Neodiprion lecontei: one gene and its partners. The protein of the gene in region 2 interacts with the protein of the main gene of each other region in a pairwise test. Links are inferred from orthologs where the notes say so. Each region holds a gene or a part of one and is shown on either strand. Other genes may lie near its edges. The genes, in order: tyrosine-protein kinase Shark, protein draper and thioredoxin domain-containing protein 5 homolog.

Region 1 (12,953 bases), on a different chromosome or scaffold from region 2:
CAATTTAAAACTTGTAAAATCGTTAGTGCCTTTGCGAGGATATAGTTGTTCTATGTTTGCGTTATTTACAAACAAAAATTAGCTTACTATGAAGAGAAATTGTTTACTGATACACTTGTTTTCATCATTTGATATAAATACTACACGTTGGCAGTCTGCGTTCATCTACTTAGCGGTTAATATTTAATTTCATTACGTATTATTCATGGCTTTTCCTCGAAGACACAGAAAAATGATGACAAACGCAAAGAAAGAAATCGGAAAATCGGAAAACCGCACACACACACAAACACACACCAAAATGCATTAATTTATGAAGAATAACATGTATATCAAAGTTTCATAGGTCATACGTGCAAGTCATGCTTTTGAAATCTGTCACGTTGAGATCATTGAAACAGAACTTCTGTATTCTACCCTTGGAGCTGTTTTCATTAGAACCTGTCAATATAATCATAAAAAATACAATTTCCGCTTTTGTTTTTCTTTTTTTATATCTTATTCCATGTTAACGTTTATCAGTCAACTCAAGTTCATACTTGAAAAATGATACCAATTTATATAAATTGGGAAAAATAAAAAAGAGTTATGATAAGAAGGAAATCCATGAAACTTTCATATTCAGCCATGTTTGTTGCCCCATCTACCTCAAGCTTATAAATCAGAGGTTAAAAGTCTAATAAAAACAATGACATAAAGTCTAAAAAGTTGTCCGTCAATATTTCTGTATCTATTGAAATGCATATTTAATATCAGTCATACAAGCTGTATGACTTTGTTTCTTCTTTTCGTCAACTTCTACCTGTACACGATGTCCTAAGAAAGAAAATAAAATGAACAATTCCGATTTGGACTTGTGAGGAAAACAAAACTGTCAAAGTTTGAATTTCAAGAAAATAATGGGTAGCACAGGGTTGGTGGGTCTAACAAACTTTTAAATGTATGCAATTCGTTAATTTTCACCTTTAGGTTTTGAATGTATGAACGACTACGTAGATTTTGAACAACTGCATTTCATTCAACTGCAAGCAGGATATTGACATTTCCATTCAGTTATTTTGCTCCCCAATGAGCAAAATATCGGTTTTGTTGAATAATTGAGTCAAGATCTCTATAAACCATAAAAGGAGGGTTCCGTCTCATCGATTGATTTTCACAAATTCCAACCTGTTGTCAGTACATGCTATACATATACGTTATTAAATCAAATTCTTCATGTGATTATAATAATAATAATTTCATAAGTGAGAGAATTAACGTATTGTAAATAAGGTTAGGGTATATTATTATAATATGATCATTATTTATTTTTTATCGCATTATTATTTTTTAAGTAAGAGAACGTAAATTGTAAACATATATGTATACACTATATGTATACATTATATGCTTATAATACGACTATTGTTTTGCGCAGGCATTCTTGCATATTGATATGAAAATTTGAACTTCGATCTTTTATGCAAGCAAACATGACATATATATTCAAAAGCATTTTTTTTTTATATTCATTCAATACTTTCATTTATCTTATTTCGTCAACCTAATTGTAAGCTTTAATTAATTAATCATTAACTATGCTTGGTGTCAATAATGACAATGACGTTATTTAAAATTTATAATGTAAAGAAAGTTTCGGATTACCGTACCAACTACTTATATTTATCATTTTGTATGTGAAAGCCTGTGCATAAAAATTTATATTAGAGCAAAGATCGAACTGTTGTTGCAGCGTACCGTTATTTGATTTTATTTATTTTCTTTTTGTTTGATTGAAATATTTATGACCTCTTTCTTTTGCTCTTGTATATAATTTGTATATATGAACATGTAATATATAAATCACCTAAGTAGGTACATTACAACGTCACACTATTCTACCTTTTATACAAATTTAATTACATACACAAAATTCTGCTTTTCTGTCAAATGTATAATTTAAAAAGCAAGAACAAAATAAAACAGGGAAAGAACACCGCATATGAAACAGCATCCGATTACACGTCGAGAGATAAAATACGTGTAACGATTATCGATAACTACATGCATAAATGTGTCCGGTACTGTTCGCGGTTAGACGAATTGTCAAGTTTTCTCTAACAATTAAAGTTAAACAAAATATGTTCATTTCAACACGAATTTTAAAAGTATAATAAATGTTATGTAGATTTTACACTATGACGAAACTTCATTTCAGAATCCTACTCGTCTTTTACTTATGTCAATTTTCCATATCATTATTTCGCTGACCTTCGCTACAGCTAAAAGATCTCTTGAAGTCTTACTTAAATATTATAATTATAAGATTCAGTATTACATTCATCGTTGCATGCTTTTAAATAGCTTGCCAGCGTTATTTACTCTACAGGATCAACATCTCGCAAGATTGAAGTTAGTAACGTTATCGTAATGAAACATTGGGAAAATAATCACTATTGTCTTAATTTTACAATGATTTTTAAGGAACTAAGATTTCTTAATACGGGTGTTTTATTTTATTACGATTTATTGAATTTCAGATAATTGCAAAATCGCGAAATACAGGTCTTTCTTCAGCATGAATCGTTACGATAACGTTACTAACTTAAGTATGATAAGATCTCGTCATTAGAATGTCGGAGCGTTCTTGATTAATCGGAGCTTCAGGTACACTCCGTATTCGAAAAAATTTGCTGGCAATCATTTCATTTGGCTCTGTTCAGCGAACGAGGCCGACTTTCGAGGATGACATACGTCGTCTAGTTAATCGTTCACGTATGTAGACGGATAAGAGGCATAAGCAGTTACGAATCATGCGACTTACCGGAGTCGTAACTCGTCGATGATCCTGCATCCTCAACTCCATGATATTCCGTAATCCATGCGTAATCCATAAATTCACATTATCATTTCACTTCACGCACACTAGCAAAAACTAAACCTGGACTTGTTCTTTTGTCTCTTTTATACAGGCGAACAGAAACAAAGCACTGTCGATATGACGCGGCAGAATCCCGCCGAAAGTGAATCGTTGCAAGGTTCAGTCAATAGATAGGTCGATACCTAGATTATTTTTATCATTACTCACATGCAGTTAATGCTCATTTGCATAAAAACCGCCTATCATCAACCTCACAATTACCCTCAGTAGCAAATCTCTGAAAAATGACGAAAATTAACTCGGAATCGAGTCGTAAAATAAAGATTACCACGTTATCGGTCGATCATTCTAATAATTTTTTCCGAATTCGGTCGTTACGCAGCGAACGCGTACACAAGATGTATCCTTCAGGTGCCTTCAAAACGTCATAAACCCTTCAATACAATAGAATCCGATATTTCGTAGACAAACATTGTCGGAAAGATGTCTTATTACCCCCGAAAAAGATCCGAGATCGTTGTATTGCGCAACTCTTTCACGATTCGAAAACTCTCATCACATGCACTTTAGTCACACCAACCACCCAAAACTTGTGTATTAACTCAACTAACGATTTTTTACACAGTATTTCACGTGGACCTGACTATAACCATTTTTATACACATACAATTAAGGATTTACAGCGAAGCGGACAGGGAAGACGTAATGCCCGGGTGTCGGCTACACCAACACTGATTTCAAACTACATTCGATGCAACAGTGTTTTGTTTAACGTTTCTTCCTTCGATATATCGTTCGGCCGAGTTGAGACGCATCAATCCGCAACTTCTCTCCAATGAATTCAAACTTCAACAGTTCAACCATGAATCAGACATACGTATAAAAATAATTACCTCACCCTAGCTCTAATCGTTGACTGGCTGTAATTGAACTGATACATTTCATTTAATTTCCTTGGGATGATGGATACACTGTCGAATGAAACAATACAAATCAGAAAATCGATCAAGATGGCCGAGAAACAGTCTTTTATTTTACAAATTTTGTAAAATATTTAGATGAATACCATCAATTAGCAATTTCTCGCTTTTTTTAACAATTCCTTGTTTTTTTTTTTCCAAACGGCCAACTTCACTTTGAAATAAGTTAGCACTTGTTATTAAATTTATATTTTCAGCAATACCACTATCGCTTTCAACTTAATTTATAATTCGAGAAAGACTCATTTGAATACAAAGATTACAGTCTTAAAGAAAGTATAGAAAATTTCAGGTCTTATATGGTATAATGTGTACAAAGTTAAAAAATCGTCTAGTAATCGTCAGATTACGTATCTTATTATTTACAAAACTATTACACGTCTGATAGATCGTCTGAATTAAACGCTTACCATTTTTATAACTGCGTGGTCTCATATTTTACTGCAAAATCGACCTATTGTCGTATAATATAATTAATATAACGTTAAAAATACGTAGGGCTAAAATAAAATATACTAATTTCTTCCGCAAACATGTTGAAATCAGCTGATATCGACAGCGGCAATAAGCTCTTTGATGTTAGTGTACTCGGGATCACTGCTAAATATTTCCAAGAGTTCGGCAAAGTTCGGGCGATCCACGGCTGAGTATGACCAGCAGCGTTTCATTACCGTGTAAATATGCTCCGGACATTTATCCGGTTTTTCAAGACGTTCGCCATTCTCGACCAGTTGAATTACCTACAACCATGGAGAAAGTAATAGTCACATCAATTTTCTTGAACGATCCTTTTTATCGGTTAATGAAAGTAAACTTACATCTACTCCGCGTCGATCTCCGTACGGCTGATCTCCGTAAGAAAACATTTCCCACAGCGTAACCCCAAAACTCCATACATCGCTTGCGTTAGAAAATGTACCGAAGTTGTATGATTCCGGGGCATACCTGGTGATGGTCAAAATTTCAAAGAATTGAGATCAAAGGTGAAAAACTGGTGATCAATATTTTATATTTCAGTAGAAATAATAAATACAGATACACGAGTGACCATATCGTCATCATCGTCCAATGACTTTTGGCACATATTTGTATGTGTAAGGCATCAGAATTTTAAGAGTTACCACTTTATTGGCCATTTTCCACCCTCGCTAGCTCTGTAGTAATCGTTGGAACCAAACGTTCGTGAAAGTCCAAAGTCACTGATCTTGGCTTGATGTCTGGAAGCAAGTAGAATATTTCGTGCAGCCAAATCCCTATGCACAAGTCGGAGTTCCTCCACGTACTTCATACCTGAAAGAATACTATAGCGTTTAAAAGTTGAAACACCAACTGGTCGACAATTATACCAGTGAAAAATGCGTTTCCTCACCACAAGCAATCTGCGATGCCCATATTTTCAGTTCGTAGTTCGGGTTTACTCGGTCGGGAAATTCTAGAAGATATGCCAGCATTGAGCCGAGTGGAACTAATTCTTGAACCTGAAATACAGGTAAAATTGTTTCCACAACTTGCTAGTGCTACAGATATCAGGTACAAATTAATCAAAAATTTAAATACATTCAATTATACCATGAGCAAGGGTGGTCCTAAGGAAAGCCCGATGAGCCTGACTATGCAATGATGGTTGAGAGACATCATAACGCGCGCCTCTCTCAGAAATTCGGCACGAGTGGCTTCGCTGTGAGATTCGTGAAGTGTCTTGATTGCAACTGGTTCCCGAACACCTGTCGGAGCATCATACACTCCTTCGTAGACTGATCCGAATTCACCTTCGCCAAGGACGCCTCCAAGGATCAAATTTTCTCCCGGAATGAACTCTGCGAATATAAATTCACTTGAATGCATTGGAATACATTGCTGTATGCGAAAAAAACTACGATCCAATCACTGAAATATGCATTACCTTGGATTTCCCGTGCTTCTGAATTCAAATTAGCATCAAAGTTTGTCTCATTAGCCGTGACTGGGATATTGTAAGATGAAGATTCGTCAATGTCAAGATTTTGAACAGAGTCAGGCTGAGTTGAAAAAGATGTGGTCTCTAGTAGTGTTGCATCTCTAGAAAATTTGCCTCTCTTAGCCGTTGACTGTCTCGATTTATTGAGTGTGTTCTATCAAAGAAAACATATTTTCACGAACGAAGAGACAATACAAAACGCCTGCACGCTCTTCCTCAGTTAATTTCTACTCACCCCATTAAATATAGACGAAGGCATTTCAGGAACCGGTGGTCTTGGTATTGGAGCAATAGGATGAAGCAGAGGCCCAGGGAGGCCATCGGGCATACACTGATAATATTCTACGACGTGTTCCAGGGAAACGAGGTAGGGGCCATTATCAATAAACAACAAGTCCCCCTGTACTAATGCAATAGAACATTAAAATAACGTGAAGAATGAAAATGGGCGAAAACACAAGCCAAGGTTACATCTAAAACTGCGTAATGATAAATACTTTAAGAATACAATGTACGTGCAATAAGCATGGCTGACCTTTCTTTGTATTTGGAAATGGTACGCTTGCTTGTGGTACATAACTGTGAGTACGTAACCACCGCGGTGACGATCGCTAAACCGAACTAAAAATGATCCGTCAACGTCACCATGTTTGTGTAAAAGAGCGACTGCCTCGGTTCTATCTAGTGTTCCGTGGTACCAATTGCAGCGTTTTTCTTTTGGAGCAGGTCCCTGATAATCGCCTGAAGAAAATAAGCGGTAACCAAATAATTTATGGCTAACATTGTTGACTTTTAAATATTTCTCACAATACCCTAACAACTTACACAACAGCTTTGCACATTCCACATGACCGTTTCGCTTAGCAAGATCAGCCGGTATATCATCTTCCATAGTGCGAGGATTGACAGGCGCGTTCATGGAAAGTAATACTTGTATCACCGTATTGTGTCCCCTACTAGCTGCTTCATGCAGAGGAACCATACCTGAAAAATATGCTAATAGAGTGGAGTATTTCGATCTTTCTATACTTATTTTATGAACAAAACCGTTCTGATCAGTGTTATCGAATAGTCAATGAAGTATTTAGTATACATGCCACCAGGACTTACCTGTCTTTGTGTTTCTTGCCTGAATATTTGCTCCACCCGTTATTAGTATTCGAACGGTACTTGGTAAATTACTTTGACATGCATACTGAAACGCAACACAAAAAAGAAACCAAGAGTAACAACGTGAGAACACAAAATAATGAACCAGGTGATTTGGAAAACTATCGAAAACGAACATCAAGTACTGAGTGTATAATGACACAAACTAAAAATCACAATACCAATATGAAATTTATTGAACAAGAGGTAAAGTGTGAATATTCACAAAGGTACAGTGTAAAAATGTATAATAACTATCTTGGGATGGTAAGAATCGTTAATAATTCTTATCAAAATTGTGACGGAAATGAAACATGTAAGGGTGACAACAGCTCTACAGATGAAAAAAAAAAAAAAAACAATCAAATCCCACTCCACATTATTTCAGACTCACGTGTAGGGGTGTATAGCCAGCAGAATCCCTGCAATTAACGCTGGCTTTATTTTGAATCAGTTTTCGAAGAATTTCATCCGCTCCGTTCATTGCTGCTAAATGTACAGCAGTTTGACCCAGTTGATTTTTGGCATCCAGACTTCTATACCCGCACTTCAGCAGCTCTGAGACTATAGTGTAATTTCTCTGTACGGAATTTATAGAAGTGTTCAATATCATCGACAAGCACTGATAAATGAATAAACTAGTAGTAGCTAGTTAATTCTACCTGAACAGTCGCTCTGTGAAGAAGGTTCGTTCGTCCATGCCGCCTGGTATCGTGGGGTGGCGGTTTACCAATGCGAGGGTTGCGCAAAACCGTTTCAAGACCATGATGACTATCTTGATAATATTCGATCAGAGTATCCAACCCATGAATTGTTGTTTCATCATCTGTTGGTGTTTCATAAAAAATTAACCAAACTGCGACAAAAATTATAAGAATACATATGGAATGTGTAAATCGGTAGGTAGATAATCTTTACGATTGTCGAGTCGCAGCATGTTACTTACCTATTGAGAAAAAAGCATCCTCCTCATGTTTCCTAATTTGATAATGAATCACTTCACCATTGTGGAGAACAGATAAGACGTAATCCCCCAAGGACGAGCTACTGTTTCTTACTAAAAATGTGCCATCCTCTGTTCCTTCTGAAAAATTAATATTATCAGAAAAGGGATAAGCACAAGACAACTTCTTTTTTCTTCTTTCACTATTATTCCAATTTCAATAACCATTAACACATTATTACAGTTAAAACTTCAAATCACACAAAAGGATTTTATAAAAACAAACAAAGTTGATACACTGTACTTTTTATTGAATCTCTCAAAAAAATATCTCTTTAAACACTTACTATGATTTATAATATACAAAGAGGTGCAAATCATTACGAGGTTCGATACTGACACATAGAATAAATGGAATAAAAGATGTTCAGTGTTCACGGAACAACAGGACGCCAAATGATGACCATAAATCACCAGTAAATTAACTAAGGTACCATATGCAAAAAGTACAATTACAACATCTATCGATTTCAATACAACAAATTGCTAAATTCTCTAAATGGCATCACTGAGAGTGTACGTACATGCGAGTGTTGAAAAATTGTTTACAAACTTGGTTAGAAAATTGACTCAGTGGCAAGGGGTATTTTCAAACAAATTTTGTTGATAACTACACATGGATAACCATGAAGTATATGACATTAGGTCGGAAGCTTACAAAGTCGAAGCCGTCTCAACCAAGTCTGACATTAGTGTTTCCGAGCTTTGGTACTCTGGGTATGTTTCAAGACGCCGAAAAGCTAGACATTTTTCACAAGCTGCAAGTGAAATTTGAACGTAAGAAAATAAGACAGAGATTATAAAACACACTGGGTCTCGTCCCTTCTGTTAAAAATGTTTCGAGACGAGCAGTAAAGTATCAAACATTCAACAAAACAGGTTAGAAGAATAAAATATATATATTAAGTTGCGTGAGTTTAGTTGAGGAGCAAATAAATAATATCCTGATTCTGAATTACGTTGAAACAATAGTGTAACATGGAAGATAAAATGGCCAAAGAGCATTGTTGTGACATATCCAAGGAGGGCGATCGATGATGCAAATCGATGCAAATCACTATCCGTTAAATGCCGAGTAACGTTTTACGCACGTAGGCATAAAAACGTATGCACACTTAATAATCCACAAATAAATTCCGCATTACCTTCCTTCAACATATTTTCCGCATCTTGACGAGAAAGATCTCCGTGATACCACGCTATGTTTTCCTCGCTGCCCATTCTTAGGGTGTTTTCCAAGTACAATAATACTACACACACGCATGCACGAACGACGGACACAATATGATGTTCATTAATTCATAACGCAGTTCGTGTAGTGTTACGACGGTGGTAATATACAAACTGACAAACGATCCGTTCAAATATAATACATACGTAGCGTGAACGGTAACATTTTACACCAGTTGTCCAGTGATTCATCGAAGTAACAATGATTAATTTGATATTTCAGTTTCGATACTCATGAACCTCATGAACAAGTAACGTCGCGTTTATCCAACACAGTCCATAGGTATGAACTGGTATGAACGTGACTACTGCCAGCCAGTTAACACTCTGAAGGCTGAAGGAATCTGTATGTATGCACGAAGGTATGCACGCGGGTGTGTAAGAATACGCAAATGCGTCCGTACAGTCTATGAAGGCTTACTTCGTGCCTACGTGAAGTAGCCTTTGACCTTCGAATTACTTGAAAACTTTCTACGCCAAAAATTGCTACCGATGCTATTATTTATTACTCACTTCTACTCGGTTTTCGAGATAGGAAAATTTGATAATTGCTACTAATTGCTCCTGAATCGCTAGTAAACGCTCCGCAAATCTCGTAATTTGATCTCTCATAGTTTTCGAGAAAACTGGGACAAGAAGGAGAGACTGGCTTGGAAGTTACGTCCAAGAGCGGCGGATTCGAAATAGTATCCGGAACAAATTATGTTGATTCGGTCCAATCGACAATCGCATCTCAAGTTGCTCCTCGATTTCTTTTCAATTATCTACCAATTTCGTCATATGCTCCCTCACAGTTTATAGAAATGTCGGCAAAACGGCACGAACTCGTCGCGTGGCAGAGGGTTGGCTGGGCTGAGTTCAGAAGCCTTACCCGAGTGAACTCGGTGGAACTCGGATATCATACTGTCTCTGTCTAACACATGAGATTAAACAAAGACGCAGCGATACTGAGTCACTCGAGTAAGGTTTCTGAACTCAGCCCTGAAGTTCTAGCGGGTCGGCTGGATGTTATTAGCAGTGTTGCCAACGCGGATTGCCGTAATCCCGCCAAAAACCGTTGGACTCGTCTGAATTATTTCCCATCAAAAATCACCGGACCAGCTACGTTTTCGGCCAAAAAGAAACACCACACTTCGAAAACCGAATTTGACAAAGCGATCAAGAGGCGTACATACAACCCAACTAAAAGGAAAACGACCAGATTTAGCGGGAATACCACCAGGTTGGCAACACTGCTCTGTCGTTCTTCTTTGGTTCTTACCACGTCCTTACTTACATCGGGGTCGTATTTCAAATTTCTGCAAATTGCGTTCGGACGAGCTTGTAAAAATATAACAATCAATATGTTATTTGAACATCTGGGGCGACCCATTAAATTCCATCTAGTGAACGTGAGTGATAAAGAAAAACTTGAATTAAGCCGGCTCATAACGGTGAGTGTGTTTTGCGTAATACAAAATTCAATAATAAATTCAAATGTTCAGCAAAAATTGAGCATCATGTTGCAGTTCCCAAGTAACTTTTCCCCGTACAGCGTCGTAGCTCATTATTTTGACTTGTCCAAATCAACACTTGACTCGATACAGAAATCTCCTCAAATTCGCAACCGTCAGATTATATAAACTTTCTACAACAGTAATTATCGTACAACAAGCACATCTTGGACATTCGGAATTATTTTGAAATATGTTCAGCTTCAACAGTTTCTTCTGCAATTGTCACATAAATTTAACCTTCACAAATGAATCCGAGGAACAGTTTCCAGTCAGCGATTACGTTCATCGGTCAATGATCATTTGCAATTTTAGTCCCAAACTTCAATTAGTTCTAAGATATGTCGGAGGACCCTTTGGAACTCACCGCATCAAAACAATGATAGAAACGCTTTGGCATTGGTAATAGCAAACCGTAATCTTCCATCAAGGAGCTTTCCCTGAATCTGAGCAAGCTACTTGTAGATGACAGACACTGATTTCTGGACCAACGTGAAATCTGTTGTGTATCATTTAATTGTTAAGAATAATCACGTTTATAGTCTATTTGGAAGTCTAAATTTCTAACACGTAATGGAATTTATTGAGGATACATTGCGAATCTTTCTGTTCTAAATGTTGTAATTTTGATGCAATTTTAATGTTTTTGTAATCATTTTGCTCGTTGATCTGATCCCTATGAGTTGATGTACAAATTATGCTGGAGAACATTAGAATCAGATCAAAAACATGAGAGTTTAACCATTTAGAAAGATCCAATTATAAAACATTTTCTCAATTTGGTGGTACGTTAGCTTGTGTTGGCTAAAGTTGCTCGGATTTAATTCTCTTACTTAGTCAGAGTGTTGTTTTATTCGTGTTTACCATCATCGGCACAAATAATGTTGCTGGAGATATTTTAATTAGTTTGTGAAACGTATATAATTTTTGAACTACTGGTAAATTCGAAAAATTAACGACGGAGCCAGGAATCGAACCTGGTATCTAGCGATGCTTTACCGGAGCCTTACTCCACTAGACCACCTAGCCGCCTTAATCTCTCTCTTAAGGCGGCTAGGTGGTCTAGTGGAGTAAGGCTCCGGTAAAGCATCGCTAGATACCAGGTTCGATTCCTGGCTCCGTCGTTAATTTTTCGAATTTACCAGTAGTTCAAAAATTATATACGTTTCACAAAATGAAAATTACCTCGTGATTAATATTAATATTGATGATGCATATCCGCATTTCAATATTATAATATCAGACGGTCATTGACTGTCTTACGAGCTTCGCACCAAGAAGCGTAAGTTACCAAAATGTAAACACACTTACAGACACTCTTACAATTGTGCTCGAAGAGGAAGAACACTTTCTATATCCACATTTTAATTAGTCTTTTTTCTTTTCCTAATTATTAATTTGATTCATCCAGTCAACACATCCTTATGAATGCATTGTTTGAATTGTTTATACAAGAGTCCTTGCACTTTTCTTATGATCCTCAAAGAGCCTCCAGAAAGGGACATTTTTTTCCTGTTTTTATCAGTTACAACCAAATTCAAATAACAATGAATACAGTTTTAGATCACCTGCAGTGTACTTTTCTTAAATCATGCTTCAAGAATAACAATGTTTCAGGCCAATGGAGGAGTCGTATCTGAAGACTCATTGATAAAATTTACTATCAGAAATCCTCATGTAGGAAACGAGGAAGTATATCATGTGAATTTCATACACAATTGCGTGAAGCAAAACAAGATCTTGGACATAACGAAATATAGGTAAAATAACTAATACTGAATAATTTGTTTTTTCCAAATCCAAGTTCCATTTTTATCCTTTCCAAGAATAGTCAATGCATGCAAACTGTCTTTTCGGTACAGTTTCCTCATACAACTTGTACATTTTCTATTATGTTGCATAATCTAGGCACGGAGCCATGGGGATTGGGTGTCCAATGAGCCAGTTCTTGAGAGGAAGCACATCCTGCATGGTGTAAGTTGCTATGGGGCAGTTTTTTTTTACATAGTCAACGGTTTTTGAGTACAATCATAAAGTGGAGTGCCTATTGTATTTGTTACACTGAAAAACGTTGCTACGAAAAAAAAAAAAAATCTCACATATACATTTCAACGCATTCACCGACCTTTTCTACCATTTTCCAATAACGCTGAAAATGTTGCACTCTGAATTACGTGAAAACGACTTCATCGATTTGGATAAAAGTTGAATGAAAAATCGAGCATTGACTAGAGACGATCCGTGCAATTTTCTAAACCTTTAGGACTTCTGGTTTTTGCAT
Region 2 (9,606 bases):
CATGCAGTACCCCTACCCTTACCGACCGAGAAAGTTTTTCCTCTTTCTTGCTTTATTAAATAAAAAAACGAACGCAAAGGGTTCAAGTTTCGACGGTGCATCGCTCTGTTGTAGCAGAATTCAGGTGAGCTACTCGTGTCCTGAAAATCGTCAAATAAATGTGTGGTTCTTTGACACGTGTTACTATTTCCACATTTCCCGCATTTGATAACATAAGGGATAAGGGTGAGTTTGCTCTGTCGGTAAAGGTAAGAGTACTACGCGAACTTGAGCCCCGTTAATCAGGAATCGCTTTTATTCTAAATCTAATTTGATCAAAATAATAGTAATAAATTATACGCCGTAGATTGATGAATTTCACAATAGATTTCGCGGGTATTTATTAGCCTGTTTCAGATGAGGACAATATTTTGTTATCTTTTATGCAATAACATCTACGCGTTAGTTTTTTTTTTTTTTTCTAGAAACCAATTCTCAAACAGGTGCCTCGCGTCATGTATCTTTTTTCAATTCAATGATTAATATGCAAAAAAAAAAAAGAAATATACTAATTCCAATCCCTTTGCAGCAATTTACGAAGTAATATGAATGAATGATCGCTTAGATTATTGAATAATTTGCACAAACGACAATACCATTTTTTCGTTGGAGAAACCAGAAACCAGATATTAGCAAAATAGAATTTGATATTACGCATATCCAACAAAGCCAACACAACTGTCAAACCTCGTGCTACACAATCGTTGTGTAAAATTTTTACTGTATTTTTATGTCGTGTTTATCAAAACGCTAATGAGCCACGCGGCGTGAAGCGCCTCTTGAACATCCTATTTCAGCAGAAGCTGAGATTTGGATCACGTTCCAGCAAAAGGGAAAAAAAAAAGATAAATAAAAATACTTATAATATCCAATCTGAAACAGTTTAGTATTTACATTCATAAGAACTCCAACTTTATTCACGGCTTATGATCGAACAGCGCCTTGTTGTCGGCTACTTTTCCGCCCCCGTTTCCGTAGACCGGTTGTTCTGCCACCCCTCGCAATCACCCCCAACTCAAACCCCGAGCGTCGCCCGGCGCGGTTTCCAAGGGGGTTCGGCGGGGGACCGGATGATAAATGACGTACTCACGGTAATTGCCTCCTAAGTTATGGCTTATACTGCGTATGAAATATGGTATCGTTCCTCGCTCGCAATTACTGCCCGGCTGTTTATCTCGGGGAGAGAGAGAAAGAGAGAGAGAGAGAGAGAGAGAAAGGGAGAAAGCTTCGCAGCTCGTTTCATGCGCACGCGAAAGCGCATGAGAAAATTTCCTCTGTATACGTATGTAGTTGCATATTCGATATACATATATACATACGTATACGACATAAAAACGGTTATATGAATTATACATTTGTGAGTTTGATGAAATTCGTCGCAGGGGTTAATGCCAACGGCTTGTTGCAATATGCTGCTTAATCGTAAGTCTTGAAAGTTTATTTCATGTTTTTTACTGCAGGGATCGATGTATTTTGTAATAGGGTTGTTGAGGTAGTGAGGATTTTTCTCTAGACCGCCCCCCCCCCCCCCCAAATCAACTTTAAATAATTCTCAAAGGTTTTCAGAATTTTAGCTCAACTCTAACACGTGTCTACAAGAGGAAGGATTTCCCTATTTGAAATACGCGTGTTTCGGATACATTGTTAGTATATATTTTACTGTAAGATTAATAATGTTCAAAAAAATGTGTGACTGCGAGGTTTTAGCGGGCATTAGTGGTACTATTTGAGAAAAAATTCACACCATCATACCCGGTAATCTAGACGAATTTGCACTTAATCCAAATAGAATAAATTCAGATTTCGAAAGTGTTCAATTCGTTGAGATTGTATGGTAAGATGATGTGTACTTTTTTCAAATAGTAGCACTAATGTCCACTAAAACCTCGCTGCTTCAGATGTTTTTGAACATTATTACTCTTACAATAAAATATATTTGTACTGACAATGTGTCTGAAACACGTGTACTTTAAATGGAGAAACGCACCCTGATGGCGGGAGATTTTAGAGTTGAGATAAAAATCTGAAAAAATTAGGCAATTGTTTTTGAATTATTGAAGGTTGATTTGGAGAGCAGCTCGGAAAAAATTAGCTGTCACTCTAAATAAGAACAACCCTATGTCAGTATATGAGGTATGTCCGAATCGATTTGTAATAATATAAACTGATTTCACAAGTTTATCCCCCCCCCCCCCCCCCCCCATGCACGTGAAATCTCAAATCATTTTAAAATAGTCAGTCTTAAATATTATTCTTTTGACTAACAATGACATCGAAGTTGAACGATAAAATCTCTGTATTGGGAACGGAAATTCTACAGTCACGTTAAAGCCATTGTGACGCGTATTTTTCGGTATTCTGATATCTGATCTTTAAATTTAAAAGAACGATATTTAAATCTCACAATTTTTGAGACGATATAATTTAAAAACAATTTAAAATTCAGTATGGATGTATTCTTTTTAAATTGTCAGTTGAAAAAGAAAATAAATTGGTAAAATCGGGCTCATTGCATTAGGAAATGATACCGTGAATATTTTTTTTTGAATTTATACTCACTACCGCCACGGAGTGGTAAAAATAGTGTGCAAGCTGCCCGTAAGGTCACAGCATGCTTTGATCCATTCTGTGGCGCCATCGCTCCTGGAAAGCTTGAATAACGTAACCTTGAGCGCCTGATATCGCAACTACAGATACACGTTAGAGCTGCAAATTCCGTGCAGTCAGGCGCAAAGTTTCGACCCATTCCAATTGCACTTGAATAATGCTGGCAAAATAAAGAAATAAGGAAAGTGATATCTGATTTGAGTCATGCACTGAATTTAACAGAAATTCTTAACCTATGAAAATAGAGTGATCGGGAATTAGTTATCAGAGAAAGGTAACGAAGTGAAATAATTGAAGAGAGAAAAAAGAAAACTGAAAATTAAGATCTACTGTGGTTTCATTTTACACTAATAACGTAGCTTTACTGTAATTTATTAATATTATTGACTAGTCACTGATTTTTGTTCTGAAAGTACGAGAGAAAGGACGAGAGTGAAAACGTAAAAAGATCGTCAAATATGTAGATGGTAAGAATAACGAATTTTCAAGAATGCAAAAACTTATTTTGTCCACCTTTTATAATGCACAAATTTGAATTATATTAAAATGAAACTGTAAGAAACACCAAGTATATAAAGCCAAAATATAGAATCGTCAGATTGAATGAGAGTATAGCAGAATTCTGGAGATACAATTTTTTTGTTTCGGTACGTTAACTTTCTACATTTTTAATATTCTATACTTTGACTTTCTACTCTTGTAAAGATGCTAAAAAATTGATGTTCGCGTCTTCAAAAATTGAATATTCTGGTGTTTCTATCGATTAAGTCGAAAAATAGTGGTAGTGGAAGCAGAGTAGAATGTGAATCGCATACCAAAAAGTAAATCGAAAAACCAGTATAATTATAAAATTACAATTAAAATGAATAAGCATTACGTTAGAAGAAAGTCTTTAACAATTATAAGTTTTGCAATTAAATCAGACGAATCCAATTTCACAACCACGGCGAACATTCGTAGCGTCGGTACAACAGATGCCTATCCTTACCTTGTCTCGAGAGGTTCGATCTACACGCGATAACTGGCATCGAAGTTCGTTTGAAGTTCTCCGAGAGAGCCGCCAGACGGAAAAAGTTACATCGCCAGCGCCACCAGCGGATACGTGTGAAACTATTCGCTCTGACCGAGGGACGCTCGAGAATTTGTTTCGATTCAGTGCGGCTAGATCCTCCTCTGCAGAAAGTTTGGTGCGGGATATATCAGCGATAGTCGATAAACAGTGAAAAAGTGGAAATAACCGAAAGTGAGCTTTGTAGTGCAGTGCGTGAGTGTTTTTTGGTGAGCGATCAGATCCGCCGATTGCATTCTGAGATACCGCAGTGAATCGAACGCCACCGATTTCAAGATCCAGTGCAAAGTAGGGAAACCGAGAGCCCTTGGAACGGATTTACCCCTCAACAAGTAATGTAAGTGTTTATCCAAGTGTCCTCGTTCTGATCTTCGTTGCTGGCATCCCAGCTTCGGGCTGCGGTATTAATGAACCGTTACAACTGCCGCTGTGGCAGAGAGAGAAAGAGAAAGAGAGATTGCAACGTATAATCGCCTCTCTTTCTCCCCCCATCCCTCTTTCGTCCCCCGACAGTGGTTGTGGAATCTAGTTTCTGGTACCAGATTGTGACGCGGTGCGTTGCCCCCTCGTCGGTTCTTTGTGCCCTCGTTCGAGGGCCTGGAACACCGCGCGAAGCGTGCGGAATGCAGCCGTTTTTTGTTTTCATCCCGGCCGAACGCTTTGAGAGATGACGATCGCCGTGTTTTAAGTATCATTATTGTCACGTGACTGACTCGCTTCTCTCGATCTCCGTCATTCTTTCTCTTTCTATACGGTGAGACGAAGGTCGTTGTTACGCACGACGCGGTTGAACCACTGGCTTGAAGCCGCAGGTGGTTCGCACTGTTCTGACAAGTTGAGTCTACCTCTCGCGTCGCAATGACGCGAGGAAACGCTATTCTGGTGAAAATGATTTCTACGATTTTTTACGAATTTTTAGGGAAATTGGATCGCATCGCATGAATTTGTACGAAAAATTGTAAATACGCCTAAATTATCATGAAAATTTGTATTTTTTCACTGAAAATCTACAAGATACTACGATTTTTAAAGAAAGTCAACAATTATTTGTGAAAAACTATGCATGCTTACAATTTTGTACACGAAATGACACGAAATGTTCCAAATTCTGGAAAAATTCGTAGTAGTAGTAGTAGTAGAAATTTTCATTAGGGTAACCCGGTGCTGATGTGGCCCACAAATGCTCAGAATGTCAGAAACGATGAGAGAAAGTATAGGAAGTCAAATTTCGTTCAAACCTTCGATGACCTATTTGATTTCGAAACCAATTTGGAACCAACGAGTTTCAACAAAATATTTCAATTTATGGTCGAGGTTGAAGCTAATAACATTATTTTGTAACCATACCAACACGTTTAGTTGATTTCAACCAAATTTTGTTGGACTAATAAATCTAGAATTGACACAAATATGTAGATATTTACTTCGTCGCCCGTGACCACAAATATAGTTATTTCAATGATTTTTTTCTCTCCGTGTATTCATAGAAAAATTGTTATTTCAAAATTTTAGGATCTTTTGAAATTCAGTGAACTGTAATAACCCAAAGCATATTTTAGAAACGTCACTGTGTCACGATTTCACAACAGAGCCGCTTGAAATTGTAATATAAAATTTTGCTACTAACTTCAACTTCGTAATTATCCATCATATTAGAGAAATTAAATTACCGTATAATTTATTGTTCTTCATATAGTTATTTCAATTCTGAAAAACGCTAAAATTGGACAAACGACGACAATTGCTCATTTTCACCGTAAACTTAATTGCACAACCACGATTTGAAAGAAATATATTTATCGACACACCATCCAACGTACGGACTGCGATCATTATTACGTTACGTGAAGTGTAAACATCAGAAGATTATATTAGAGATATTAGATTTATCACTGAATAGTTCGTATCAACGCAAGTCATTTTCAATTTCTTCTGCGTTATTAGTTCATTACGTATACCTTATACATTGTCTAGAAACCGATTGTAGTTAATCCGGTTTTGTTTTTGTTTGCAAAGAATTATTAATTCATTCTTTGTTTTATAAATTTTGTTTCATTTTTACCCAGCACATAGCGAAAGTGGTATATATACATTATACATATATATATTGCAATTGCGCAACAGACAATTCAGAGATAATTAATTTATGATGTTGCAAGCGATTGAGCGCATTGCACTTTAACTGCGAGAGTGTGGAAGGAAACACAATGATAAAAGGTTATTATTGTAATGTTCCACGATTAAAAAAACAAACTGCGGCGTATGAGAAAAAAATAACGATGATGAGGTTGACACAAGGTATATACCGTTTTTATTCTTTCTTCTTCTGGTCTCTCTTCCTCGTGCTCAGCTTCTGATCTTCAATTAAACGACATCGCGAGTAAGATGGAAAAGAAGGAGGCGGTTCTGACCTTCGCTCAGAATATTCACCGAGCTCACTTTTCCTCTGCGTCACTTCGACGAGATTCGAGGTCGTTATTCTGTTTCTTTCTCTTTTGTTTCGTTCCTGTCGTGACTCTAAAGTGCAGCAAAGCCAATTGATCAATCAATCCGATGTAGGATATATCAAACATCGCGCAGTCCATTAAATTGTCGAATAAAACAAATCCGCGCTGAAATCAAGATTCAAAAAGTGATCCTCGAATTGCAGATCGAGACGAATTTTATTGATCCTTAAAGTGATGAATAAAAGTAATTCAAAATCGTACATTCAAATGAAATATTCAATTCTTAGTGGTGAAAGAGTTAAATAAGAGAGGATACTTTACTACGTTTATTGAAAATAGTCCCGATTTGTGATCGGAGTTTTTTGTACCAAAAAGCCGTCCTTGTGTAATTGAAAAGCTTGTAAACTAGTGCGAGATCGATCGTTCAGAAAATTTACACGAGTTTTGGAGATCATTTCGTATTATTTTTCCCAATTTTGTGCATAGGAGTCACAATTTATATCAAATTTCGCTTCCTCTCCATGACCTTAATTAATAACTAATTATGTTACGTTTTATTTGGGTTAAAGGCGTATTCCTTGGGATACAATAATGACAAATTTTTTGCGTGAATAAGTTCTGTACAAATCAGCTGATATATTTTTTTAATATTGTCATGCGTCCAGTATATTTATGTTAATCTGCGAAGAATTCATACACCAACAAATTGCATTGAAATTAATTAAAATCGTACGACCTATGCCTGTTTATCTCATTTCGAAATAATACATATATATATTAAAACAACCCGATCGCTCTGAGATTATTATACAATAATTGGCCTTTTTTATCATTTAAAATTCGTCGGATTCAAAACCTAATTTTTCGGTACGAAAGAAACTCTTTGCTTTGATTAAATACAACTTGACTGACTTCAGTCACAGATTACTCTTTCTATTTTAATTTCTGTTTTTTATTGTTTTTCGCTGTGATTACACACTGTGTAAAATAGACATCGGCAACAATAAATAATAAATGACAAGCCCGCGTGACAAAATTACTATGCATTTTATCCCCACAGCGTAAGCTTATTATAGTCACACGCTAAAGTATCCCGAAAATATCACTGGGTCGAAGTTCACTGTCTAATCGACACTGGGAATGCTTGGAATTACTTATCGGACTATTCAGCATGTAAAATGTCAAACTAATGAGACAGTTTTTATGACGAATAAATATTCGCTAATTTCTTGATTAGTGTGGTCATAAATATAATATCGACGTACCGTGTAATAATTTGACGTAATTGAGATAGAAATTTTGCGATGAGCCAAAAAGAGATTAATTACTCAGGAGTTCAAAGAATATTTTTCCCGCACTCTTATCGTAAATGCTGAATTACTTAAAAAATATTTTTGAATGCATCTAGATATATTAGTTTATCAACATTACTGTAACGTATCTAATCCACTGGAATTTCCTCCAAGTGTGCATGGAGCTTTTTTTAATCATTGAAATAATCTTCCGCCTTTTAAACACTACTTAATACTTTTTAGCCTGCGTGAAAAAATTCGTTGCAGTAATAATTCAACTATACAGCAAATTATTCTTCGCTTCAAATTTGAGATAAGGTTCGACTAGTCTTTATCGAAAATACTTTCTTCAAATGGTTTGTAGATAAAACGTTGAATGTCGATATCACTCCACGAATTCCATGACGATGTTCCTAATTTAAAGACAACGGTTACTTCTCATAGAAGCGATTAACAGTCTATCACATTTCGTTTTTTTTTTTTCTTTTTTTTTCTTATTGATTATTATAATGTTTTGTTATTGTTTATCTATGCGTGAATCAGGAAAATCCGCAACGATCTTTACAAGCGATATAATATCAGTGATGAAGTAAAGTAATTATATCGATTATGAAATCGAACCACCGAATAAAATAGTTTCTAAGTCATAAATTCTTTTATTTCTTATAATTGATCTTATTATGGTTTTCAATAATTGGGATATTCTCAAATGGTCGGTATATATAAACATTTTTACCTTGCTACGTGTAGTCACACAATGAAAAAAAAACTTCCAGAGAAACAAAACTATCGTCTTCTTCTCTCCAAATAAATTTGTTGATTCATTCGTTTCTTTCGAATCTCATCAATTTATTTTCCTGTTTGAACAGATTGTTTTTTCGTGTACCGTTGTATTTTATCTCCGCAGTTCAAACTATAAACAATATGCGTTATATCAATATTATCCTGCATTTACCCGCAACATCATCGCGGTGAACTTTCCATGTGAATAAAACTTTCGTAATACACAATGGTATGTATAAATAAATGTATGTATATGTAAATAATAATTTTTATGCACATTATACACACTTGTACGTGAACAAAAAATTGTTGCCACGAAATTTAGTCGTTCGGAAAAATGTCTGTGAATTTTATTGCATTTTTTCTCTGAAAAAACAATACGGTCATTAAAATCAAACTTTCCAAGTTGCATTCTTTGCGGTTAATTTTTTTTCTTTCATTTCTTTTTCTCTTTCTTCCAACATCTCTTGGATATTATATTCACTGTTTTTATCATTACATCATTGTATGCAGCTGCTCCATTTGTGGAACTGCAACGTATAAAACTAAGAGAACCTCCAAGTCGAGTCTAAGATTCTCTGCTTATTTTTATGTAGCTTCGATCTATTTTAATTTAATATAGATTGAATGGAATATAATAATTTAATCCCGCAAAACATGATGATTCAATTACTTATAATCTATTCCTGAATAATAATTTAACATCCGTCCAATCGATGAAGGGAATTTATATCGCGTGACTAATGCCAAAAGGGCGTACTACAGCAGTTAGATAGGGATCCATGCCAAAAGGGCGTATAAAAAAATTTTTTTTTGCCATTCGACTTAAAATCACTCGAAACGTAAAGATCTGCAAAAAAAAATTTTTAGATGTACTAACGCCAAAAGGGCGTATCTCAAGATATATGCCCTTTTGGCTTTAGGAAATTGCCGGCCTAAAGCCAAAAGGGCGTATAAAAAAAATCAAGATTTTTCAAAATTTTGAATAAAAATTGCATATTATTGAGTAAGGAATAAATTAGAAATTATTATCAAAAAAATAATACGCCCTTTTGGCTTTATAACTTGAGATATACGCCCTTTTGGCTTTGAAAATTTTTTTTTCATTTTTAGGCTTAGAATATATTGACAAAACGATTGGCACAAAAAAAAAAAATTATACGCCCTTTTGGTTTTGAAAAGCCAAAAGGGCGTACAATTTTTATACGCCCTTTTGGCATTAGTCACGCGATATATCCTTCCTGCATATTGAATCGAATTAAATCAACAAACAAAATACTTTTGGTTCATACACTATCGTTGAACAGGTATACTAAACATTTCATTCAAAAAACTTCCTCTAATCATAGCTTTGTAATACCGATTGCGA
Region 3 (11,161 bases), on a different chromosome or scaffold from region 2:
ATTATTCAGGAAATCATGTGCAGATTCAGACAGCTTTCGCCCGACGGAAGCGAGTGCGGTTGCATGAAAGCGGTTGTTCTCTTCACGCCAGGTAAGATAATGCGCTTTCATCATCTATAATGATATAAGATAAATATCGGAATTGGGAAAGAATGAATTTTTCTAATTTCAATGCATCCCTACGTCGGCGGTCCTTTAAAATACAAACAGATTTTCAAGAAAGATCTGTTTGTCTGTCTGTTTGTCCAGAAAAGACCCGGTGATAATCTTGGAAACGGTTCAGTATGAAAAATTTGTAATTTACGGGACTTATATCTTAATTTTTTATCAGAAGCCCTTCGTGAGCTGATAAAGTGTACTGTATAAAAAATTACTTTTTGCAGCTTCTTTGAATCAGATTAATAGAACATTGATAGATAAGCTGATACGGAAATAAAGTAAGCATGTCCAGCCTCGTTAGTATAGCCGATGCTGAAGATACAAAAAAAACTGTTGATATAATTTTTACAGTGTATTTGCAATACTCCGTTCGATTTTTGTGATGGAACTCTTTGGATACCATCGTTATGGAATTAATTGTTTACAATCGTAATGGAACCGTTAACTGGAAACGATAATTCTTGCAGTCTTACTCCAAAAAAAAAAAAAAAATTACTTGTTATATAACACATCGTTAAAATTGTGATTGTGGTTTTTGGACTTTCTAGAAACCAGGGGACTTCACGAGGGGCAACCGGTCCAGATGCTTCAAGACCAGGCCCAGTGCATTTTGGGAGATTACGTGAGATCGCGATATCCTCGTCAGCCAACAAGATTCGGGAGGCTGCTGCTCCTGCTCCCGAGTTTGAGGGCTGTAAATCCTTCGACCGTCGAACTCTTGTTCTTCCGAGAAACGATCGGGGAAATACCGATCGCTCGTCTGCTCGGCGATATGTACCAAATGGAGAGATACTCGAATTGAAAGTACCTAATCGTATTTCATAGAAAATCTGACGTGGCCAGAGGACTACTTTGACGTGTTTTTATATACTAACAATATTAAGTATTATGTTATTTTCTGTTTATCCCGCGATAAGATTGGCTATTACCCATATTCAGATAATATTGGGCTCTCTTATAGGTAAAATGTACATATAGGTATATGTATGTTTTATTGTAGTCGATGTGTGAAGGATCATTGGTCGAACAATAATTCACCGAAGACTGTCGATCCATCCCACGATGAAACGTTATAGCTGTAAAGAATGTAGGTGTAAAGTTTCATGCAAACTGTGAATAACAGCTGTCAGCAGAACGATAATGTGTCTCCGTTACTGTAATACGTGACGAAGTACAGTCTGCGAGTTTCGTTAAATAACCGCTAAAGAGAAATTTGAAAAGAAACTTAGAATGTATCAGAAGAATTAAGAAGAACTGTAATATTCAAGTGATTGAGTCATACGCAAAACTGAATGTAGGTATATGGAGGCAATTTTTAATACAGTGATATGAAAAAAAAAACAGCACCTCATCTCATTACAGAAGATAATTAGACTTATTTCTCTTAAATATTCGTTGTAAAATTGTGCGGAAGATATTTTGACCAGAGGATCTGTGCTCTAATTGTCGTATACCAAGTACACATATAGCTGCATATATTTATTGACACTTTTTTCAACAATCTGTTACGTTTATCCACATAAAGAAAAAATTTATATTTAATTTGTTCCTATTTGCACTCTCTGGTGCAAATAACGGAGAAATAGAAAAAAAAAAGAAGAAATTCATACAATCGGATCACGATGAGCGCTGTCAATATCTGGTATTATAAATCTAAATTTTAATTATCCATACATACCAACAATTATGAAATACACATTCTTGTCAATATAGTACTGACTTTTGCAATAGTGGGTCTGAAGATGATTATAAATTACGTCAAGTATGTTCATCATCACCTCAAACCCTCAAAATGAGTATCTTGTCTATCGAAACGAAAGAAAACGGACAAAAATACGTGAAACGATAAGACTATACAAGAGGAAAAGTTCAACATTGCTGCTGCATTGCCTTTCTTGTCAAAAAATTAAGTAAAATGCAAAAATCTCATGCTCGTGTTCGAATCATTTCGATATATAAGAGACGAATCACGGTATAGTTTATGCACGGACTTGCTATATTGCCACAGCTATGGGGATATGTTGCATCTTATCTTATCTTCGTGTCCGCCCAGTTATGACGGCTACGTATGGATTTGATAATTCGAAAGCAAATCGGTCGCACCATCCCTATCAATCGTTAAAACTCATTAATCTTTACGCTATAATGGCCTGTAATATATGTATCGTTGTTCATTTGGTTACAATGTTTTTTCAATCGTTTGAAAAATATTCTCACTTTCTTATTCGCTTACATTTGTAAAACACTTGGGAAATGTCGGGCAGATGTAATATATGGGTAATATTTATCGTGAAAATTGAATTGAGAATTTTTCATGCAGTATTATAGTATTATAATATATAGATATACAGTATTATATATCTAGGTGTATGTATGAAAGTTCGTTAGCAAAGTATTTTAGCGATTTCCCAACTGTGATACGTCATGCAACCCCTTTCATTCGTCGTGTGCAATAAGAGTAACGAAAAAAAGAAATAATGTATGAATAATAATGATTAATACCCGTAAGTATCAATGAGCGGTAATTGATTATATAGTCGGGATTCATGTGATTATACATAATATCGAAGGAAAGTTGACACAAATCGAGCAAACGTACTTTATTTATATCGCTTATTGCCGCATCTGTGCACTTTTACTTGTGTACGCATTCCACTAACTATAAGCACACTGTTGTTCTTCGTTGAATATTATTAAACTAGGTTTCACACCGGTTGTACAAAGTTCCGAGTAAAGTTTTCACAAATTTTGGCCGAAATCAGCGAAAGCAAACTTCAAAAGGTACGACAAAATTTGTTTATAAATTAGTCTTGATGTCAAGTGTAACGTTTGTCGATATTTCCAGGAATACGTCCCGAAACGGCGTTCTCAAATCTTCTGAATTTCTCTCTTATCACTGTTTAACTCCCTAAATTGAAATAAAATTAACTATAATATATTCAAAATGCGAGATAACTGTTTCTTCAATAACTCGTAAGTTTATTCATACGGAACATTAATCGTTCATCGTGACACGAAGACTGTAAACGGTAAATCTCGATAAACGACGGTAAATTGAATAAAATTTACGTTACTTAATAATACATACATACAATGTTACGTGTACATACTGTAAAGTAGCTGTAAAATGTTTCTGCTGTAAATCGGAACAATGTGTATAAATGTATTACGTATTCATATACATATGATATAATATACATGCTTACTATTATCTTAAGGCGATTCAATTCCCGATTATGATTATGCGCTATTCATTCGGTTCGGGAAACAGAAAATAATAAATAAATGCAAGAAACGTATGAATCAAGTGCGAACACTTGGCAGTAAAAATATGTCTTAGGGTATTGTTAGATGTGTTAATAACAAAGACACACTGTTTAATTTCGAACCATTTTAATAATCCACTCAACATAGGCGATCATTTACAAAACACAATATTTATACTCAGTATTCATTTCACGTTTTTACAAATGTACATTACAGGCTCACTTGTAATGCTTACCAACTAATCATAAGTATGTATAAAGTTTAAAAGGAATAATTCAACAGTTTCTTTTGGAGTATGTGAATCGAAACTGCTGCATGCACATTATGACATAAGTTGGACAACGGAAGCTCAACATCTTACCTCAAACAAACGACTTCAACTCTGACTAAAAATGGATACTAGTTGTTCATTTTAAATGCTCTGCAAACTTTTCCTACGTCCGATGCTGACGCAAGAATAGAAGCTAATCTTATCAGCTGATTGCGATTTATCGGATTTCTAAGAATATTAATTAATATAACTCAAGGAAACAAAATATTTTACATTTAATAATACAAGTTTTGTTTATTTCAAGTGACATAATCATGTAGAACCATAGAAATTGAAGACCAGAATTAATGTACGAGTTTACCATTTCAACTTGGTTCTCCTCTAATAACGTCTCTTCGCATTGTAGCGAATTGTGTCTCCAGTTCTCATTCTCACCCATTATGGTATGGGCTGGTTCTGTTTCAATTTCTTGGCAAGCTTTCGCTTGATAATAAGTGTCTTGTGAGTCGACATGTGTCGGTAGCTCCAACAAAACGCCTTACTAATACGATACATTATGGAAGATTGCCATGAAACAAGTTTGAAAAATTATATGAAAATTTTTTTAAAAAGTAGAAACTATCATTCAGATCAATTACGCGAGCCGGTTTCATTTACGGATCAAAAACCGCTCGTAAGCTCCCTCCGATAAAAACCGTAAGTACCAACATGCGTTTTAGTTAGAACACATGATCACAGTTCGTCGCGGGACTGTATATGATTCATAACGAATTCGTAAAGATCGTCCAATGTACGCGATCCGTTGTACTCGGACAATTTTCGGCCGTCCTTGTACAGGAAGAGAGTTGGAAAGCCATCCACTTCCTGGTCGTTACACAGTTGTTTGCTACTGTTCATTGTACAGTCGACCTTTACTATGTGCACATTTTCGTTTGCCCAGAATTTTTTTCCAAGCTCTTCCCACGTCGGGGCTAGACGCTTGCAGTGTCCGCACCACGGTGCGAAAAACTTGATGAATGTTACACCCTTCTCAATACCGTTCTTGAAACTCTCACCAGTCAACGTGAACACCGCGTCCGACGGACCGCCAGACTCTTTCTTTTCCTCGTCATTACTCTCCGCGTTCTTGCCCAGCATCATCGACACGTAAGTCTTCAACTCCTCGTGAGATCTCTGCCCCGTGTATTTATCAATCTGAGAAGTGAAAAAGCATTTTAAGAGGTATGGTCAATACTTATTGTACCACTTGAATAAATCATAAAAATTTCGATAAATGCTCATCGCGATTGAATTCGATATTAGCTGTGACATAAAACTTACCTTTTTACCGTCTTCAATCCACAACAGAGTCGGGTAGCCTTTAATGTCGAATTGGCCACAAACTGAGCGATGCTGGGTGCAGTCCACTTTAGAGATACTAACGAGGTCGCCATGAGCGAAGCTGTTCGCAAGCTCATCCCAAGTGGGTGCTAACTTTTGGCAATGTCCGCACCATGGTGCGTAGAATTTAACAAAATGCTTTCCACTGGATACGTGTTTGTCAAACGTATATTCGGACAGTTCCAATAGTCCGTTCACAGGCTGCGGTACAGCTGGTTCGCTGTTCTCTTCCTGCGATATAAAATTACCTGATAAATAGTCAGAATTTTTGAAGATCGTATTACCGATAAAATATAGAGCAGTAATACTAACAACTGGAACGCTTCCGATTTGCTCATTGATGAATGTTGTCAGGGTGGGTAAGTCTCGAGTCCCACGGAACTTGATACCTTTGCTTCCGCCAGCTTTGAAGAACTTGAGACTGAAGATAAATGCAGGTAGTTATATGAGGTTATGGAATTTCCAACTAGTTGGTAATTTACAAGGAAAAATATAGATGAAAGTAGTTTAATGACCCTGAATTTCGAAACATTGAACAATTCAACTGAAGCTACAAGTTTCTTTGCTTCTAAAAGGAAAAAAATTGGCGAGACTCAATCGGGTTGAAGAAAAATTGATAATTATTACGTTGGGTATCCAGTCACATCATTATCCGAACAGACAGTTGCATCAACGGTACAATCGACTTTTGCAATTCGAACTTGACCATCGTCAATTCCATTGAGCATTTCAGCTAATTGTTCCCACGTCGGTGCGAGTCGCTGGCAGTGTCCACACCTAATAAATAACAGAATATTTTCGTTCTATGTATGACGTGTTTATTAAGACTTACATACCCCTAGTCATTTTCAACAAATTTTGTAATTTTTTCTCTATATTTTGAGGATAATTCAACACTTGTTTGAATGAAGTATTTGATAAATTTAGAGAGTCGAATTTCCTTGAATAATGCACTGCTAAATATAGGTTGAAATATCAAATCTTAAAGCCATTTTCACAGGAATTGTGTTTCTTAAAACTTTGGGGCAGGTTACTTGAGACCTCTAGTGGAGATTGAATCTGAATTTGAACTGTACATTTGTGATATTATCTGTTCATCTGTGGCTCTCAGGTTTCAAAATCATATGGCCAAGTTTCATTTACTTTAAGAATTTATTTAACATTTGTTTCGGTTACTACCATTTCATCATTTCTTATAAAATCTCATCCTTCATATTATAAACATACTGATGCTACTATTTTTCATTTTTTTCTTTCTTAAATAATTGTGTCTCTGAAAATCACATACTCAAATAAACTACAAACACAGAGATTTGAAATATCCATAATATTGACAGCGAAAAAAAACTTAGTGGAATCAGCCACACTTATTTCGGTGTCCCGGGATATGCATCAACATTATACTTGTAATGAGTGTAATGACAATTGAAATATTATGAATTATAAACTATATATTTCGTGTTCGCTTGTGTGTCCAAAATTTTTTGACTTACCAAGGTGCGTAAAACATGACAAAATGATCTTTCTTGGCTATCTCGACAGGGAAGGTTTCCGCCGAATATTGAAGAGTGTGGACGTCATCGTCGTGAGCAATGACCTCGCTTTGATATGTTGAAATTGTGACAAGAAGTGCGATGATTTTAAGAAGCATAGTTACGAGTGTCTGTGATTCGCTTTAATTTAATCGCTGATAAATCAAACAATCGTTGTTCACTGATTTTCTGAAAGAAAACAAAAAACCAATCGTCGTGTTGTTATCAGTTACTGAGAACCAAGAGAAGATGCGGGCAAATTTGCGTGAATAAAAAAAATCGGCGAAATTTGACAAAACTTCCAGTTTTATCAAATTAAGGTTAGCTAACTAAAGCGCGATTTCTACTTATGAGGAAACAAAATCTTCCCGCAGCTTGTTATTTAGCGTAATATTTTATACTTTTGTCGAGGGAATTACTCAGGGGGAGGTGCAGTCTTGATATCGAAGTGTAACACTTTCTCGCAAGAACACGTTACCTCTCGCCGACCGATCGAAAACACACAAACCTCCAATCCGCCCACCGGGTACGAGACAGCGTACCGCGGGATGACACTGCGCCTGATTAGAAACGACTCTTACTCCACCTGGCGGTGAATCGGAATACTGAAGTTTAAAACATGGGCGGGAATGTTTGTCAATTCCGTCGCGTGACCGATTTGGGAGTTTCTACGAGAGTACACCGCATTCTTTCGTGAAATATAGATTCAATTAGAAATTTTTGGTCGTATGACCGTTTTGGTATTTGAGAGTGCGCTGCGGTCGGCTAGTGAACATAAGATTTCATGTCGATTAGTTAAGTAGTTATATGCGAATATAACTTTAAAGCTTCCCTCGCAGCGAAATTGATGGATGAAAAATCTGTACGATATTAATTCAGTCCGGGCTGATTATGAGTAAAGCGCACTAACCGACAGTTAGTGAGCTTACGTGGACTATATTGAGGATTTTTGTTTTGGTCCAGATAAAAAGTGAGGCTAACTCTTTTTGATTTTTGGTAAAAATTTTGAGATTCTGAAAAGTGCTGGCGTTGACTGAAGAACATAAAGACTGATGGTAACCCTGGGTAAATTTTTGTGACCAGTTTTCGGGGGGCAAGTGGGCCCAAGTGGGCCTGGGAGCGTAGGAGGGTTCTGCTCTATCGAGTCTACTTAACGAGCTCGCACTCAAGGAGGATGCCTCCTTGATCGCACTGACATTCATAGCAGCCAAAGTAGTGTCGATATGAAAGCTTGAGATTGATTCGACACAAAGAGACTACTTGTCGACTGCGACTTAAAAATGTCGATCAGCTCGATAATCCCCGTGACAAGAAGCGTGACCGCGTCCACCGCAAACCACCCCGAACTACTACCGAGCACCATCAACCACCGCCGACCACCTCGGATCACCTTCGCCCTCGTCCACCTCGGCCATTTCCCCCACCTCCTCCTCCAGCCCCACGTCGTCCTCGTCGTCGGCGTCCTCATCGACCGCCATCAATCATCTCCAACCACTACCAAACACCTCCGACAATCTCTTACCACCACCAAACACCTCCTACCATCTTAATCCACCTCCTACCACCTCCTACTGCCACCAACCACCTCCTACCAGCGCCTACCACCTCCTGCCATTTCCGGACACCGCCAACCACCTCCGAGCACCACCGACCACTTTCGTTCTCCTCGTCCCCCTCCACGTCATCCGCCGACCGCTCGTCTTCGTCGTCCTCGTCGACCACGACCGATCACCGTCATACACCTCCAAACGCTTCCTACGTTGACTGAAGAATAAAAATACAGTTGCCCCAATGGGCTTTGGTGGGACAACCGAAAGTCGTCGTGCGCTTGCGCTTCCCGAGATGTTCCATCGGTAGAGTTGAGAACTTATTGCAGAACATCAGAGAATTACCGATTTCGACATGATGCTGGCTGCATTCACCTTCCGAGTAACACAGTCTTCGCAATGGTGAGCCCAAGCCAGTACTTGGCTTGTGTATACTAACCGACTTGTCGGCGATACAAGAAATTAATAATCAGAATAGATTTCGTCCAAAATTCGTAGCAAGACGGTGATTTAATTGAAGTATAGGTACCCGAGGGAAGAATGTATACATAGATCATAAATAATAATAGATCAGATGTAATAAAGATGCAGAGACCAGAAAATATACAGTATATGCGGTCCATGTACGATATTACTATATATATGATCCAGTAACAATTAATACGTAATGCATACTATAAATTTTATGATTTTCCAGGATACAAACTAGATTACATACAATAATACGGCTATGATATGATAACAAAAGAATTGTTCATTTCGAAATGGGATTCTATTCGACACGCGCTCGATGTATTCCATTTGCTCTCTCGATCTTGAATTTTCATAGGCACAGCATGGAAACGTTGTTTTAACTAGTCGTAAATGAACTATCTACATTTGGTAAGAAAAAAATTCGGAGTAACTGCATGACATCAGGAATGCGCTAATTTTAATTGAAATGAAATGGATGCTCCGCAAACGAGACAGTATTTAACGCAGTGTGCTGATTTGAAGACCTAAAAAGGTGAATGTCGGAGATTTTTTTTTTTGATGGGGGGAGATTGAACGGAGCTTCTTAAAACTTCAAGTGTATTTTAACACACATTTGAAAGGTGCGAGCAAAAATTTTTATCATGCAACAGTAGCAGAAAGGCAGCGTTATCAGCTGACCCGTTAACTGAAGGATATATCTTCAGTCAACGGCTGACCATCGAAGGGCCTGGCCGCTTGAGTCTGGAATCGGCAGGAGAGATAAAGTGCGAATTTCTTGTTTGAAATGTGAAAACTAAAATCATTATACATCATATCATATCATCATACACCATACATCATACATCATCATCCATCATACGTCATATCATACATAGTACTGAAGTTCGTAATCCAAGGTTGCATGTTCGGATATTCCGATGTTCAGAAAGTGACGTCACCTGAAATTTTTTTTTGTCTTTACGTCATCCATCTATACAGACGAAAATCAGCTAGCCGAATTCTTCAGTCCGGAAACAATCGCGCAATAGAGCGGACGGATGAGAATCGCGCTCCGCAAATTTCGAGTACTGGGTTCTGTACCAGCTGGATCCTGCCCTCCGGGTCCGCTTTCTGGTGCAACTCGAGTTCCAGGACAAGCGCTCCGTAGTTCCTGCGCTCAAAGTCCACTACCTGGTGAAACTGGACTTCCAGGACAAGCGCTTCATGGTTCCTGTGGAGCACGTACAATACCTGGTGAAACTCGACTTCCAGAACAAGCGTTCCGTAGTTCTGGCTGTCCAGGTCCATGACCTGGTGACTTTTGACCTTCACAACTAATTTTCCGTAGTTTTCCAGTTTTTCGTAGCTCTCCATTGTTCCTGCGCTACAGGTCCACTACCTGGTGTAACTCGACTTCCAGGACACGCGCTCCGTGGTTCCTGCGCTCCAAGTCCGCTATCTGGTGCAACTCGACTTCAGGGACAAGCGCTCAGTAGTTTTCGCGCGCCGGGTCCACTACCTGGTGAAACTCGATTTCTAGAACAAGCGCTCCGTAGTTCTGACTGTCCAGGTCCTTGGCCTGGTGACTACTGACCTTCAGGACTAATTTTCAAGTTTACAAGTTTGATTATTGCAAACGTCATGTTTTGTACCATCAAACCAATATTCATGCTTCGGATTACATTTTGAATCGGGATAATAACCGTACGACCACGATAAACAAATTGCAATTGCAATTTGGCATTCATCCTTACACAATATTTTTGATGTGTTTTAATACTGGAAATATTGATTAGTATTCGAGGATAACCCGAGGTGGGTAGCGGTGGTCGTTGGATGTGTTTGGAAATGGTCGGAGGTGGTGGGAGGGGGTTGGGGCTGGTTGCGGGTGATCGAGATAGATGAGGAGGAGACCGAGGAGCAGGACGGGGAAGATGAGAAGAACAAGGTGGACGAGGATGACGAGGATTTGTGCACTGTGAGTATAACATTTTTATAATATTTAACGGAGTGGGAGTAGGATCAGGAGTAGAAGTAGAAGTAGGAGTGGGATCAGGATCGAGAGTAAGAGTGGAAGTAGGATCACGAGTAGTACCAGGATTAGGACCAGGAGTAGGATCAGGAGTAGGATCAGAAGTGGGAGTGGGATCAAGAAGATACGTAGGATCAGGATCTGAAGTGGAACCAGGAGTAGGACGAGGAGTAGGAGTAGGATCAGATGTAGGATCAGGAGAGGGATCAGAAGTGGGACCAGAAGTGGGGTCAGGAGTCAAATCAGGAGTAGGATCTGAAGTAGGATCAGAAGTAGTAAGTACCAGGAGTAGGATTAGGAGTAGGACCATGAGTAGGATCACGAGTAGGATCAAAGTGGAAGTGGGACCGGGAGTAGGAGTAGGATCAACTATTTTCATGTAAACCAGTAACAAAAAGCTATGTTTCTATTTCTGCACGGTGAGTATAACGTTTTTCTAATATTTAATACCAATTGTAACTATACTTTATCTGAAATTTTTTAAACTTGTCACGTTTACAATAAATTATTTCAATTTAGT

The links.
Region 1: the proteins of protein draper (region 2) and tyrosine-protein kinase Shark interact in binary tests that used the Drosophila melanogaster proteins (3 or more experiments, as listed by UniProt). The link is inferred for Neodiprion lecontei from reciprocal best matches to the Drosophila melanogaster genes drpr and Shark.
Region 3: the proteins of protein draper (region 2) and thioredoxin domain-containing protein 5 homolog interact in binary tests that used the Drosophila melanogaster proteins (3 or more experiments, as listed by UniProt). The link is inferred for Neodiprion lecontei from reciprocal best matches to the Drosophila melanogaster genes drpr and prtp.

Annotation. Positions count from the first base shown.
Region 1 is NC_060262.1:186,678-199,630, reverse strand, and holds tyrosine-protein kinase Shark, read right to left. Parts: upstream 9,256-12,953; 5' UTR 9,171-9,255; coding exon 9,095-9,170; intron 8,031-9,094; coding exon 7,893-8,030; intron 7,773-7,892; coding exon 7,609-7,772; intron 7,527-7,608; coding exon 7,341-7,526; intron 6,993-7,340; coding exon 6,908-6,992; intron 6,782-6,907; coding exon 6,623-6,781; intron 6,539-6,622; coding exon 6,333-6,538; intron 6,198-6,332; coding exon 6,033-6,197; intron 5,952-6,032; coding exon 5,744-5,951; intron 5,658-5,743; coding exon 5,410-5,657; intron 5,319-5,409; coding exon 5,210-5,318; intron 5,131-5,209; coding exon 4,962-5,130; intron 4,786-4,961; coding exon 4,659-4,785; intron 4,581-4,658; coding exon 4,383-4,580; 3' UTR 3,872-4,382; downstream 1-3,871. Other genes in the region: uncharacterized protein LOC124293234, read left to right, coding at 10,100-10,612, 12,290-12,432, 12,581-12,646. UniProt on the Drosophila melanogaster protein: Following axon injury, required for recruitment of drpr and glial cells to severed axons and for glial clearance of severed axons from the central nervous system.
Region 2 is NC_060263.1:18,481,014-18,490,619, forward strand, and holds the start of protein draper, read left to right. Parts: upstream 1-3,778; 5' UTR 3,779-4,052; intron 4,053-9,606. UniProt on the Drosophila melanogaster protein: Receptor which is involved in the phagocytosis of a variety of cells including apoptotic cells, severed and pruned axons, degenerating dendrites, salivary gland cells, germline cells and bacteria.
Region 3 is NC_060260.1:10,939,148-10,950,308, reverse strand, and holds thioredoxin domain-containing protein 5 homolog, read right to left. Parts: upstream 7,167-11,161; 5' UTR 7,011-7,166; intron 6,799-7,010; 5' UTR 6,729-6,798; coding exon 6,571-6,728; intron 5,855-6,570; coding exon 5,705-5,854; intron 5,499-5,704; coding exon 5,390-5,498; intron 5,309-5,389; coding exon 5,018-5,308; intron 4,892-5,017; coding exon 4,430-4,891; 3' UTR 3,536-4,429; downstream 1-3,535. Other genes in the region: protein dissatisfaction, read left to right, coding at 10-91, 708-961; uncharacterized protein LOC124294844, read left to right, coding at 9,668-9,851, 9,958-10,131, 10,406-10,587. UniProt on the Drosophila melanogaster protein: Possesses thioredoxin activity. Acts as a ligand for Drpr and is required for the phagocytosis of apoptotic cells. Binds to the extracellular region of Drpr and augments Drpr tyrosine phosphorylation.